Linked DNA regions of Rhinolophus ferrumequinum. The protein of the gene in region 2 interacts with the protein of the main gene of each other region in a pairwise test. Links are inferred from orthologs where the notes say so. Each region holds a gene or a part of one and is shown on either strand. Other genes may lie near its edges.

The links.
Region 1: the proteins of CUL5 (region 2) and ELOA come close enough for resonance energy transfer, tested with the Homo sapiens proteins (3 studies listed by BioGRID). The link is inferred for Rhinolophus ferrumequinum from reciprocal best matches to the Homo sapiens genes CUL5 and ELOA.

The regions. Positions count from the first base shown.
Region 1 is NC_046292.1:16,210,336-16,218,136, reverse strand, and holds the start of ELOA (elongin-A), read right to left. Parts: upstream 3,417-7,801; 5' UTR 3,377-3,416; coding exon 3,224-3,376; intron 1-3,223. UniProt on the Homo sapiens protein: SIII, also known as elongin, is a general transcription elongation factor that increases the RNA polymerase II transcription elongation past template-encoded arresting sites.
Region 2 is NC_046294.1:76,756,496-76,764,206, reverse strand, and holds the start of CUL5 (cullin-5), read right to left. Parts: upstream 3,529-7,711; 5' UTR 2,916-3,528; coding exon 2,892-2,915; intron 2,311-2,891; exon of another isoform or gene 2,204-2,310; intron 1-2,203. UniProt on the Homo sapiens protein: Core component of multiple cullin-5-RING E3 ubiquitin-protein ligase complexes (ECS complexes, also named CRL5 complexes), which mediate the ubiquitination and subsequent proteasomal degradation of target proteins.

The sequences.
Region 1 (7,801 bases), on a different chromosome or scaffold from region 2:
ACAAAGATAATGCCAATTCCTTTCCTAAAGGAAACTTCAGAATCATTGAAAAGGTTAAAACCAGGCTGTCACCCCTACTGATATATAAATGGAAGGCATTTATATACCATCTACTATGTCGGCTACTTTGCTAAGTTCTCCCGTGCTACCTCATTTCATCCTCACTGACCACCTCTATAAAGTGGGTATTATTCACCCTGTTTTACAGTTATTTAAGCCGAGCTCGGTGAGGTGAGATAACCTGCCTCACGAGCTAGTAAGTCAATTGTGTCTGCCACAGTATGTACTGCAAGGCCAGGAGACACATCCAACCTAACACTGTCCTTAGAAACTAGGAAGAGAAAAGAGAGCTGTAGCTCACGTGCCTCTCAGCATACCCCAAAGCCAAAGAGTGCCTCCACAGTATTCCGTTGTTAGACAGTCTAGAGGCCACAGTGTGAAGGAGATCTCCACGGGGACAAAGGATCCTCAGGACCTCTACGAAGCCAACATTAAGGATGGAGCCTGAAGTCACTTTGAAAATCTCAAAGCCTAGCACTAACCGGAGGAGTAAATGCTGCCTTTCTGCTTTGCTTTGGGTTAGTCGGGACGACTTAAAAGCAGACAAAACAAAAACTCTGGAGATTTTCAAAATGATTTAGCTCAACATAAGATAAAAAGGGCTTCAGAGCCTCTCTGTTTTCAATGATGTTCAAGAAAAAACAGCAGTAACAAGGTAAAAGCACTTTGGACATCCTCAGGTAGATGGAAACTTGCTGTTATCAAACCAACAGACCAATTGTAGAGTTTGCAAGAACTGATAACAGCTCATTGAGAAATGTCAAACATTTGCACAATGCATGCTTAGGAATTTCAGTTGTCCTTTGCACACTCCTTCAACCCAAAGAGCAGAAGATGTTCATAATGGTGATCCCATTCTCCACTTGCCATCGGACTGTGTTCTGCGTAATTTTCACATTCAAACGTAACACAGGACAGGTAACTTCACCAGCCATGAAAATTGTTTCCAATTAAATAGTAGGAACCAAGTGACCCTGGCCTCCGCCTGATACCTTTCCCCCAAGTAAGCCTGGGTTTCAGATGGACTTAAAGCGAAAACAGTTTCAGTTAAACACCAATGTTTAATGCCAGAAAATCCATGAACATAGGTGTGGAATCCACCCTTTGTTTAATGATGGTTTGAAATCAGGATTTAGTTGCAAATTCAATACTCCTATATAATCATCTTGCAATTTCAAGAACAACCTGTGGGAGCTTGTTGGGTTAACAGAAGGTTGAGGAGAAGGCCAGCGTGCCAGCTTGCAGTTTTCTCCCTGCAGTTAGCTCATTTCTGAATGCCAACTACTGTGCCCTTTGCAGCAATGATCTCCCAACATTTTCTCATCGTCTTAATGCTCACTTCATAATGCAAAGCTGGAAGTTCAGGGTGATTTTTCTATCTGGGAAGAGAAAGCCTAAATACTCACAAAAACTACTAATAGTTCAAGCAGGATGAGAAGGCAAACAAACGTTTTTCCCAATTGGAAATTTCATGCACATCAACTACTAGAAAAGCTACTTCAAATTTTAAATCCTAATGGAAGAACAACTGTAGATACTACATGGTGCATTTTTTCCAACCTGAAAACAAGATCAAATTAGGGCTGGGGGTGGATTTACATAATACTGTTTTAAGCTTTTAAAGATCAGTTACAAACCTACAGTGTTTAGGAAAACAAACTCGTATTCAGAAATAATGGCCATTTATTAGCTGTCCACAAAGGGTTATTGTAAAAAGAAACTTGTAAATATGCCTGGCCACTAGGTAATGAAGCCGCAATAGAAAATATAACACAAAACAATTGAAAGCATTTAAGTTTTCAGATTGAAAACTAAAATGGCTTCCTAAAGAAGTGGATCTTTGAGCTAGGTATGAATGAAAAGAGTTAAAAAGTGGCCTGATGGTGAGATGCTGTGTGCAGCTTTTAGAAATGGAGGGGGGAAAAAATCTCACCTATGACAAGCAGGGGACAAGATGAAGAGAAAGGGGCCCTTCAAGAAAACTGTGAAGAGTGATGATTAGTATCTACTGAGCACTTCCCATGAGCCTGATGCTTCTGCCTTTTAGTTCCATCTTCAGAACAAGCGGGTGAGGAAACAGGTTCACCTCCCCTTGGTCCATGGCTGGTAAATGGATTAGAACCCCAATCTCACCACCACTTTATCTTAACTGCCTCCTCGATTATTTCCTTTTCTCAAAACGCACTCGGGGACTCAGAGATCCCACTCTTAGAACTGTATGTACATGTTAGCTAGAATGCTGACAGAGAATGTCAGACACCTTGGGTGTTTTCATCTGTGTATTTCAATTAAAAAACACCTAACATCCACCCTTCTCCCAGACACCAATAAGCGGGGTAACAAAAAGTCGGAGAGAGAGAAGAACGCATTTAACTTAAAACAGTTTAGAAAACAAAACTAGCTGAGTACAATTAAAAACGGTTGCAAACCACTCGCTGCAAAATGAGAAACGGTAGCTCTTACCTTTTTTCAAGGCCAGAAGGAAATCTACCTGCAACTGCTAACCTCTCTGTTTTCCCCTAACTACAACCTCAGTTTTTGGGCGTATTTTTGGGCACAGCTAGGTGACGTGCGTGAGGCTTATTTTGTCTTGTTTTGAAAGGGAATTACTGAGAAAGCGAAAAGGTCCATGTTCTAACATCAAGCCGGAAAGCAATAAAAACGTCTCTTAGAGACGCAGGGACCACACACCGAGTCTAGACTCCATCACGCACAGGCAGAATCACCTCCTCCCCACGAACAAACATCAAAAGACACTAAGAAATCAGAAACACTTCACAGGGAGAGGCGGAGAGGGCCGGAGTTAACTCCAGGCGAGCTCTCCCGACAGGAAACAGCTGGCCCCAAACGCCCAGGGAGGCTCCTGGAGCCAGGTCGGCACGCGGTGCCCACAGAGCGCGCCCCTGCCCGCCGAGAGCCCGCGGGAACCCAGGCCCGGGCCCCGGGCGCAGGGAGGCCCCGGGCCACCGAGGCTCGACGTACGGGGTCCCACGGCCTGGGCCGCGGACTCCCCGGCGCCCGGCTGCGAGCGCGGCGGGGCCTGGCTCCGGGTCCGAGCCCCGCGCCCCGGCGGGCCGGGAGGGGGCCGCGCCCGGGCCCGCGACCGTTACGGGGCCGCGCCGCGCCCAACGCCCGCCTCGCCCCCCGCTGCCCACTCGCTCACCTTCTTCGGGTCCGGGTTCGCAGTCAGGCGCGCCTGCAGCTTCTCCACAACTTGGAGCGCCGACTCCGCCGCCATCGCTGTCACTGGCGCGGCCTCCTCGCCGGAACTGGGCTCGCGTCGCGTCCTCGGGCCGCAGCTCCGCCCTCCGTGCATCCCCGGCGGAGACGGAAGCGGGACTGGCCCCTTCCGGGCCTCGGCGGGGTGGGGGAGCGCGGGGCGCGGGGCGCGGGGACCGGGCCGGCTGCAGGCCCCGCCCCCAGGGTGGGGGACCCGGTCCCCAGCGCCGCTCGGCGGCCGCGCGCACCGAGAGAGGCCCGCTTGGTCCCGGCGCGCTGGCCCCGCGCTGGCCACTCCGGGGCCTTCTGGCCCTTGGTGTGCGGAGCGGGGCCAAAGCCTGGAAGACCTCTCCGGTGTCTACGGTAGTCAAGACGGAATAAGGCCACAGCGCCAGAACCTGGCTTTATAAACCCTATTCCTCCACCCGGGGGGCTGTGAGCCACGCCCTAATTAGCACCTGTGGTTCCGGAGTTGGTCCTCCGCTCAGGGAATCAACAGGGATTAACGATAGCGACCACCCTGGGTTGGGCGCACTAAGAGTTGGTGGTTGAGCTATCTTAATTTCACCCTAGATACAGCTTCATGAAACGACTTATATTATCCCCACTTTACAGACGAGGAAACCGAGGCTCAGGAAGACCAAATTAACTTGCATGTGATCACATAACAGGAAGAGGTGAATTGGAATATAAATAGTCTAAGGTCCACTGTGAGCACACACCTCTGAATAGATAGGTCGAGGATTTGAGCCCAGAGAAAGGGATGTGTGAAAAGTCAAACAGCTTAGCTACATGAGGGAATAAATAGCCCGTGTGTCTCTCACTTTCCCCAAAATCAGTGTCTGGTACATAGGTACCAACTAAATATTTCTTGAATGAATGAATGAATGAATGAATGTTTCCTCTGAAGCAGTAGGCCCTGCCTGAATCAGACCAGTCCAAGACACCATCCTTGAGGGCATTTACTTTCATCCTACAAGTACTAAATTTTACTATTACTATTATTACCACTAAAAAGAACAATTAAACAGTAGAAAACAGACCTAAAATACCAGCATTGATTACATCTCCTTTGGGTAGATCAGGTTAGATCCTAGTCAAATCTGAGCAGCAACTTGGCAATGTACCTGACCAGACTCTTCCAGGTGCCAGATCTGGAAAAAGAAAATATAAGCTGTTTCTTCAAATGTGCTTTTATACACTCACTATGCTAAGAAGCCCTCCTTGCACTGTCCCCACCCCTCTGCCTGGTGCCCCTCCTGCTGCAACTGACCCTCGTCAAGGTGTACACACACTGTCCATTTGTTTTTCTGTCTTGTCAATGGGGTGTTTATCAAATGCAGTGACTGACCTGCCCAATGTAAAATCTCTGCTGCTGGCACAGTCCAGTTGACATCATCAGCACTGGATAAAAAGTCCATACAAGATTAATGCCCACCCACTTGGTGCCTTAAGACTCAATGGTGGGCTGTAATGGAAAAAGCATCAAACTGGGTGTGAGGAGACTTGGATTCTGATCCCAGCCCTGCAGTCTCCCTCCTCTGCACAGCAAATGCTTTTACATTTTAAATTCCTTCCATTTTGAAAATGTAGCACTGGTGCAATGGAAAACGGGCCGATTCTCGAAGCAGAATCTCTGACTAACTGACCTGGCATATCCTCTGCACACATGGCACATTTTGCGCATGGTATCCAGGGAAAGCTCAACAACCAGAATGAAAAGAAACAGCGCATGCTGCTGGGGGTTTCTGGAGAGGGTGCACCCCAGCCCTCCACCCCAGCTATGTCAGCCTGAGTCGGGCTTACCTGCAAAGTACTCTTACGCTGGAATATTATGACTACTTTTCTGATCAGTTAATTATGTATGTGTCATTCTGATTGAAAAGAAAGTTTTAAACTACTTCTAAAAATGGCACTCTGTATATGTTCATTAGGGGATCACCACTGTAATCCTTGGTTTACACAAGGGTATTCAACAACAGAATGAGTTCCCCAGGTCAGAGGCTGTTTTGTCCATCTTGGATCAGCAACACCTAGCACACAGGTGACATGCCATGAAGGTTTGTTAAAAACTGAACTAATTATTCAACTCAAGGCTGGACCAGAGTATCATCTGAAACCTGACGGGACTCCGTAGCTCTTTTACCAGCACGATAACTTCCCCTATGAGAGGAATTAAAAGATCCATCTCCTTCTGCCCAGAAGGCACATTTAAGGCCATACTAAATGTGGGAGAAAGATGGGCAGGGAAGCTCTCATCTGCTATACACACTTCTGAGTTTTGGCAACAAATATGGGCTACTTATTAATGAAGATAACTTAAAAGTATTTTAATTTTGGAAAAGAGCAATCCCAGGCTGGCTGGTACTAGAGTCATTTAAAACACTGAAAGACAAGTGAGAAAAACAAACCGGGCAACCATCTTGTCCTCAGTAGAAGAAAGAAGCCCCAGCCTTTCATGAAATGGTCAAGTGAGATTCTACGGGTGTATTGAGTGTGGAATACTGGTGTGGGGAGGGCTTCCCCATGGACCTCTCCCGGCCGGGCTCTGCCACTCCTCTGTCTTACCAAGTAGGCAGCCTCTGAGGTTGGTGGATGGTGGGTGTAAAGGACACAGGGTTGGGGATCAGTGACAACCTGAGCTCCAACACTCAATTCTACCAGGCTAACCGTGGCTCGTCAAGTTACTTAAACTCACTGACATTGTTTCCTCCTACTTTACAGATTTCTTGTGAGGCTTATTAATATGTTATAAGTAACTGGCATACAATAGGTATTTTTTTTTAAAAGGAGCAATTATTGGAGAAAATTCATGGCCTTAGTAAAGCGAATATTGTGTTCTGCTGTAATGGAGAGTATGAAACCCTCCATCTGGGCAGTCTGTCCTGCCCAGCTGTTGCCTCTGTTCTCTTCCCTCAATGGGCTCATTTTTCTGAATTGATTATATTCATCTTAGTTTCACATCCTTCAGACATGTTCGGTTGGTTATTTACTTAGGGGTGGCATTTTTCTGGATTTCACAGGCTGGATTTGCCTTCCTCAAATACAGTAATGCAACTGGAGACTGCCAGCTCCAGCGAAAGGTGTCTGAGATTCAAAATCCACACCTTTCACAGACAGCCTTGAAGTTGGGTTAAATCCCCACTGACAATTTAAGGATATCAGGCCTAGAAATCCTAAGACCCTTTGTCTAACGAGGGCAGACTACAGCATTCTATAACGCCCAAGGAAAGCCACCCTTGGAGAAGGAATTTACCAGGAAAAAAAGGTACCATAAAAATCAAAGAGTAACAAGTACATACTGATACTTTGATACTGTGAATTTATATAAATTGTATCCAGATAAAGACCTAAATGCCTTCCCTTAGCTCTTTTATCTTGTTTTAATTTTGTTATAGCATTTATCACAATTTGAAATGACCTTATTTAGTGTTCATGTTTTTAATCCTTTCTGCCCATGATGTAAGCTCCATGAGGCATCGCTGTGGCTAAAACTGCCTAGAACATAGTACGCACTCAATAAATATTGACTGAGTTGAATGAAAGATCTACCTCATAGAGTTACTGTGTAGGTTAACTGAGACTATGTGTGTGGACAGCAAAGTGCTATCAACCAGTAACGTTGTCTTAATTAATCCTCAGTGTCTATTTTACAGAGAAGGAAATTGATGCTTGGGAAATTTAAGTGATACCATGTCCTCAGCCCCAGAAACTGAGAATGTGGTTGTAGTCTTTGCTGAGAATGCCCTTGGAACAAAGATGTTGTTAGAAAAATTGTGAGTTAAAGGCAGCTAGCCTGGAGCTGATGGGGCCAGACAGGAAGGGAAAGGGGGAGGAGGGAAGGAGAAGGCGAGAGGAGGAGAGACGGACCTATTAGATTGAGTATGGATTCATTTTCATCCCCAGTGTCAGCAGAGGTCTATGAACCCTCTGAGTTTGGGTGTCTACAGATGACAAATTCTCAAAGGGTCCATATCTCCTTCCTCTCATTGTGGGGAGGGTGGGGGGGAGATTAAAAACCACTGGATTAAGTAGAGAAGATTAAGAAAGCACCACACAGGGGTGAGAACTGTTGCTCCTCGAGTGCCTTTAGATGTCCCAGCTCTGTGCTACCTTTATACACTTCATCTCTCCACCTTCCAACAATCTCGAGACATTTTAAGGATAGAGAACCCAAGGCTCAGAGAGGTTGAGCAACTAGCTCAAGAGTGGAAGGTGACAAACCCACAATGTAAACCAAGGTCTGCTCTCTCCACAGCCCACACTGGCCTGCACTGCAAGTCTGAATACCTGGGTGCCGGCCCCCTTTCCTCCATGCCCAAGGCTCACTGCATGACTCTGGCCAGGCCTGGTTCCTCCTCTGTTAACTAAGGAGGATTGATCGGTCAAAGTAAGGATAACAACAGCAATGACGACAGTAATAATACCAACTCTTGAGCTCTTAAATGTGCCAGGCACTGTGCTAAGCAATTTGCATTAGCTATCAACTTTATCCTTAAAACAATCCTACAATATAGATACC
Region 2 (7,711 bases):
CCAAGCAACTGATAATTGTATTTGTCAAAATGTACAACACAAATCTTTTTATATCCAAAAGATTCCCCAAATCCAGCAATAGTCCACTTGCTTTAAATGGAGAATACAATTATTACAAATTCCAAAATAAAAAAAGTAGGTGGTTTTTATTACATTGGGTTCTGACTTATAAGTTCCACATCAAAGTTTTGAATCTTGTTATCTTTCATAACATATTGGCTTTCATATTAGCTTCTTATTATCTTTCATAACACATTCCTCTGAACTCTGTCATCCACAAATTCAATAAACTTAACCTAATCCAAGTTACTGGTAAATAGGTAGAGGACATTATCTTTCAGCAGGACGGTAAAGGCCTCCCTTCAGGTACAGTTGTTTAACTGATAATGAATCAAATTCTACTTGTATTCTCACCTCGCCCACATACCTCCATTTTGGTCATAGGACATGATAATTCTGTCAAATATGCTGTGGTGAAATCTAATTACACAATGTCTCAGGCAGTGTTCTAAGGAACCAGTCTATGAATTCTGTCAAGAAAGGAAATGAGGCTAACGTGGCCACTTCCTAGCCAGCCCTGTCTCTGTTCAACGCAGCACTAGCCTTGAATTTAAATGACCCTCTGACTTATGTTATGGCTCCACCCTGGCAAGGTCACATTACATTTCTCCAAGACAAACTTCCCAGTTTTTAATTAGTTAATTCTAGATATAAGAATTTAGGGCAATTCCCCTTCCCCCCAATAAGAAGAGAAGGAAAGATTTCCGGCCAATTTAAATATGTAAACTTTTGGTGATACAGATAAAAGAATTAAACGTGTATTTACATTGTCCATTATATTCCCTTAGTTGTACATATTTAAAATCACATAGGATATAAAATAATATTTAAAAATTCTTTTTCCCCCTTTCAACATTTCATAAAACAACTTTATTGAAATTTTCCCAGTGCATCTTTGGCATCTGTTTTCACGTTCACTAGAATGACTGAGGAATTTACCAGTTTTTTCAAAGCACTGCCACCTTCCTTTTATTTATAAAAGTTGTTTGAATTACAGAACTTCTGAATTCTTGTTATCCTTTTAACCTAAACACTAAGTGTCCATTTTCTATATATTCAAGCAGCTTTTTTATTCTATAGATGTATGCTGTAGATGTAGATTCATAATCTCTACAAAGTAACCACTTAGTAGTGTTGACTGATATAACTTCAGACTTGTATCTCCTCCCAACAATCCTTTGCAAAGCTTTGTATGGGGTAGAATAAAGTAAAAGGCTCTTTGCTGAGATAATTGGGGGGTGGGGAAAGACTGCTGTATATGCATGTAATCCAGTCAAAAATTCAAAGAATCAGGAACCCAATTATTTTTTTCATGATTTCAATTAATAGCATAAGCGATTGCTTATGTAATCATGCAGACGCTTTAATAGGAGTCTTTAGAAGTTAAACAAGTTTTCTTTCTGAACTAATATATTAAAATTTGCAATAATGTTACAAAAGACGAGTCCAGTAGGATGGGTTACTCAATTCCGTTATTTAGTTTTCTTAGAGAAACAAGAGTAGTGATTCTAGTAATTTAGGTGTATTGTGTACTAATTAAGTCCCAGTCACGGTTTTAACCATTTTATATACATTAACTCAATCTTCAAAACGCTCCTATGAAACAGGTTCTATTAATAATTCCATTTCATTGATGAGGAAACCTAGGCCGAGATTAAGAAACTTGCCGGAAGTCACACAGCTTCTAAGTGGCTGAAATTCAGTCTAGTTCTAGGCCCCTCCCCCATTTAAAGGAAGATAATATTATTGCCTCTTAAGTTAGTTAAAACAGTTCTACATTTTATAGGACAGTCCCATCTATCAGGCAGTTAACATCAGTAGTCTAAAAAAGGACATGAGTGAGGTTCCGGTATATTTTAACATATTTTCTATTCAATTATTTTCCACTATCCATCCTCACGGCCTGAATGTATAATGATGGGTTCGAGGGGAGTACTTCATCCTTTGTATATATGTTCCCTGAGCTAATCAGACCAATTCAGTAAATACTTTTAAGGCAAAACGTTCCTACTATAAACACAAGCACAGAATAAACAGATTAGTGCCTTTTCTCGTTTTCCTCCAAACGTTTTAATTGATAGTAGAGAATCTGCTCCTGACTCTAGATCTCCCTTGCTATCCCAAATATATAAAACTAACTAACCGTTTTCTTTGATAAGGTAACTTTCCTAAGCCCTAAAGCGATGGCAGCACTTCCTCAGTACCGTAGTCATCTGGTTGTGTGCTGTAGTGGGGCTGAGGAGCAGTTTCCTAAGGAAAAAAGGGTAAAATATGAACTCGAGAATGGGAGAGTAGGAGGGAAAGTACAGCGTGCAGAAAGGGACGGCGGGAGTGGAGTGGATGGCAGTGCTTGCCGTCTGACTTAGAATTCCGTGCAGAGAGAATAAGAACTGAAATTAAGGAGGTGGGGGTCGTCATTGATCCCTATGTCAGGCAGCATTTTCTTGGATTTTCCTTTTATACGTCTTAGACTCTCGCTTCAGAACAAACCGAGACCCTAAGAGTACTAACTGCCCAATCGGTCACGGCAAAGCACCACCATTCATCTCCCGTCCGAGGCCAGAGCTGGTCCATTGAAAGCATCGCTACCCGCCATCCCTCAGCTGGGCCTTTCACACACCGGTCAACCGGCCCGAGGGACAACCAGAGCCTCTCGACCCCAAGGCCAGGGACCCGCGTTCCGGTCCTGGGCGGCAGCTTCCCCGGCCTCCCTTCCGGTAGACAACCCCTGAACACTCCTACAATTTGCCCCTAAACCCGATCCGAACCTTTCCCAAAGAGCTGAACCCAGCGGTCGCGAAGTAAAAGCCAAGCTAGCCTGAGGGTCTTACCTTTAACAGATGAGACGTCGCCATGTTCCTTCAACTTAGATTCTCGCGAGACGTAGCGAGATTTCGTGGCGCCCCGGGCCAGGCCACAACCGGAGGCCGGAGTTGTCCCACCAGGGCCGACGGGCCCACCGGCCCGCACCGGGGGTGTGGTGGGCGCCGGGCGGCGTGCAGACAGCGCTGACTTCGTCCCAGGCTTCCTCACTCTTTCCCCCTACATGGTCACCGGAGCTTCCCCACACGAAAGAGCTCATGCAAACGCTCAGGGAGACGGCGACGGTGAATGGTGAGAAGGTAACGGGAGCCGACCTGAATTGGAAGAGGAAGCATCGACTCCACGACCCTCCCCACTTCTTCGGATTAGCCTTTGTGGTTGCACCCGCAGCGGCCACCGGCAACGAATTTAGCTCGGCTTAGGCCCGGCAGCTCAGGTTCCACCGCCGCATCACGTGACGCGGCGGGCGGGGGCGCGCTCGGGAGCGAGCGTGGGAGCCTGGAAGCCTTGGTGGGCCGAGAGGCTGCAAAGAGGGTGGGATCACGCCCTCTGCTGGCGAGACCAGGCCAGACCCTTTATTCCCCGCCCCAAATCCCGCGACTTGAGTGTTAAGGGAGGTATCTTACCCCAATGAAATGCTTGTAACAGCTGTCTTCCATAAGAACTGGCCATAGAAACCGCCCCATAGATATGTGTTGGATGAATACATGAATGAATGAATACATGAATGAATGAAATGTTGACTATTAACTATTTTTTTAATAGACAACAGAAACTTATTTCTCTGTTCTGGAGGCAGGAAGTCGGAGATCAGAATGCCAGCATGGTTGGGTGAGGGCCCTCTTTTAAGTTGCAGAGATCTTACATGGCAGAAAGGGCCTTAACTATTAATATTTCTATTCAAGTGTGTCTCGCACTAAAATAATCTATGAAAGACTGTTTGGGCAATGAACGTTAACCTTGGATTTCCTGAAGGCGTTGTCCCAGAAGATCCTAAACCATAAGCCCCCAAGCATTATCCCTTCAGATCACAAGGGACTGGCCAAAGGAAGAGAATATAATTTATATGTGCAACCTACAATATACCTGGTATTGTATTATACATTTTTACTAGCATTCATGATATGTTGGAAGTAAATAAGAGCTATGTAGTAAAATAAAACGGAAGGGAAGGATGAAGTTGGAAATTTTAAATACAGTGATTCAAGTAGTCCTCACTGAGAAGATGGCATTTGAGCAAAGACTTGAAAGAGGTAAGGAAGAAGCCAGGTCATTTGTGGGAGAAGAGTATCCCAGAGAGGGGAAGCACAGAGAGTAGGTTGCCAAGAGTATCCGAGAAATAGTGAGAAGGTTGGTGTGTTCAGGGCAGAGAATAAGGCGATCAGAAGATTATATAGGGCCTTGTAGACCACCCATAAAGACTGGCTTTTACCTGAGTGAGATAGGGAATCATTGCAGGCTTTTGAACACAGGAATGGCATGATCAAACTCCCATTTTAACTCTCACTGCTATGGAGTGAATAGAAGCAGAACTGTAATTTGGAAAGCTTATGTAATACTTCACTAAATCAACATAACTTTCATGCCATCTGGGTGTCTCCATTTTACAAATGACTTAGTAGAGAGCAATACACTATTAAACAATGAGTAAATGGTAGGACAAGGATTCAGAGCCACTATGCCTGTGTGTTCTGGCAGAATGTTAACACAGGGATGACTCTTACCATAGAGGTCACCTTTGTTCTACAGAGGACAAAAATGAGGCTCAGAGAGGTTATCCTGCCAAAGTCACTCAACTGGGTCAGAGAAAAAGGCCTAGTCCAGAATAAACTTTATATAATCATGGTTCCCTTTTCCTGTGAAACTGGGTTATCTTCAACTGTAGTCCAACTCTACTGCTTAATTTAAAATGTAAGACTCTTGATTAAATTATAATCAGTTTTATGTACCCTAAAAAAAGTCCGAAGACACTATGATGTAATAATTGAATAAATCAATTAATTAATGACCCTACTTAAAGAATCCAATTAAGTATTTAATACTTGTTTGAGTACCCACTACAGGCATACCTCTTTTTATTGCTCTTCACTTTATTGCACTTCACACTTGTTGCATTTTTACAAATTGAAGGCAAGACTCCCACACATCTTTATTTTCACTCAGCTGTGTGATATAAATTACTGAAAAGTATGTTTGTGCGTACTTTTTTCACACTTTCTTGTAGAAATGCAAACAATTACCAGCAGGCCCTAATGCATCCCTTGTGTCCACGATGTTTGGGATTATTACTTCCACAATAGGCTCTGGAAGTCTATTTTAAATACAACAGCTATAAAACAAAGCTTTTGATTTGTAAAAAGCAAAGCAAAAGACAAAAAGCTTTTTTACATGTAAAGATAGTATATAAAGTTTAATCAATACACTGTATATTGATTAGAGAACTGGTGAAAAACTAGATGGGGCACCAAGGGTTTGCAAGATTTGGGAGTGGAAGAGGGAGGACAGAAACAGCCCCAAGAGATGGAGGAGAATGATTGTTGGGGTCTCCCAGATCTCTGTATACCACATGGAGAAAAAGAGTCTGTCTCAAAAGACTATCCAGGAAGATCCATGGGAGCCAATCCTAAGCCTAACCCTAACCGGAATCTAACCATATCCCTATATCAATTTCTATCCTTATTCCTAAGCCAGAAGATCCTTCTTTGCTGTGCCAGGAAATGCCACACATTGCTTGTGCTGAGAGGTGTGTTAGTTGTCTTTCTTGAGAGAGGGTATCTCGGAGGCAGCTTTCTCTATATTGCCTGTAAGACAGTTACCTGTGCTTTAAGTCTGCGCTCAGCCCATGAATCTGCTCTGGTTGAATGACCATCCCCCTCCATGGTCCAAAACACTTCTAAGCTCCACTCTCCCTTCTAGAAAATGGGGCCCTGGACAAGGAAGTGAAAACCCCACTAGCAACTATGAAACTGAACAGAACCATCCTAAGATTTCCATGGGACCAGGTCCAGAGTGAAACTCTCACAGTCCAATTTATACATACGAGTATATTACATAATCATTTTCTTGCAAATGTCTTAAACAACAGATATTCTGAAGTTTAAGAAGAAATGAGAAAAGAATATAGAAGGGAGAGTGAAGAGATAGAGGAAATGCGTTCTGATTCCTGGGCAGTCCCAAGGACCCAATTGAGAGTAGTGGCCCTGAATTTTAGTTGCGACTACTTGGCATAGCTAAGGAAACTAAGACAGCAGGGTTAAGTAAGACACCTCAGGTCTCACTGCTCTTGAGTAGCAGGACCTGTTTCGTTCTAAAGCCACATTCAGACACTCAAGTGCAGGCACTGAATTGATACACACTAGGCTCCAATCCAGGTTAGGGTTTTGTTGACAGAGGATGTTGCAGCGAGTTGAGCATATGTGTAAGAGTATGATGATTGACCATGGGGTTAAAATTGAATCTGGAGGGTGAAAAACTGAAAATATAGTAGGATTAAAGTACTGTATGGGTGAGAGACGAAGGGTTGTTGGAATGAAGATACCAGAGGGAGTAAGTTGGGAAGATAGGAGCAGGTGGCTGGAGGGTGACATTGAGCTTAGGCTGTTATCGGTTGCAGTTATTGGTAATGACAAGGGCTAAGCTATGATCAGGGAGACAGTAGTGAGGTAGGGTGGAGAACAGGATCACTGGGACAGACGAGGCCAGGGAACTGAGAAGCCAGGCATTCTCATGGTGTCCTAGTCACATCCCCTTGATCTACTTCTGATTTCAGTAGCAGCTATGATGGACATTTCAGACTCCCCTGACAGCTTCCCACCCGAAAAGGGCACCTCTCCTTTCTTCTTTCACCTCAGGGTCTTCTCTGAAGGCCCAGCAGCCTGCTAGGTTCACAGGAAAGTACAGCAAAGTGTGGGGAAGATAAAGCTCCTGAGAACAACCCTTAACTAACAGGTCAGAAGCCAGTGAATAAGTGCGTCAGCCTCTGGTCCTCATGCAAACAATTTTGTGGGGCACTCAGGATGCTTCGCAGAGGTCTCAGTGGACTCAAGTTTCTTTCATTCATGGTAGTGACCTTAATGCCACACCTTTACAGAGGCTTTTCCTCCTTATCTTATTCTTCTTGCTCCCTGGTTCCTGCTTTCTGGGTTATCTCCCAAATAAACCATTTGTAACCGAAGTCCTTGTTTCAGGGTCTACTTTCAGGAGAAACCTTACTACAACACCAGGGTTTTAAAAATCTTCTGTGTGAATATTGAAATCACTAAGAATTATGACAGGAGTAGTGTTGGAGAGAATGATAGTGAGTCAGTATCTAAATTAATTAAGGAATGATGGAGTATGACCTGGGGGGGTCAGTACATGATTATGGCAAGGAGAGTTAATGGATGTATGGTCCATTGACACCAGACTCCAAGCTGAGTGCTTCTAGGGAAGAGGAGAGAAGGATGATTTAGAAATGGCAGTGGGGAACAAAGAAGACCATCACATGACCTCCAGGCCCAGTGGTACATTAGCCATCTCAAGAGAGAGATGCAGGAAAAGCAGTGACTTCAGGAAAGAATCAAGTTCCACTTAGAATAAGGAAGTAAAGGAACCGTTAAGAGAAGAGTTTGAGGATACGGAGGATTTCACTGCTTGTCCAGAGGTCAGAGGTTGGGGAAATGGAATCAAAAAGGGGTAAGTGATGAAGTGTACCCAGATGAGGGGTGACCTAGGTATAGGGGCTTCTTGCAGAGACTGACATAAAGCTAAAGGCATAATGATATTGGTTTTAATGGTGGAAGGGCAGATAGTGGGGGTGTGTCATGACTAGGCAGGGGTGGGGATCTTG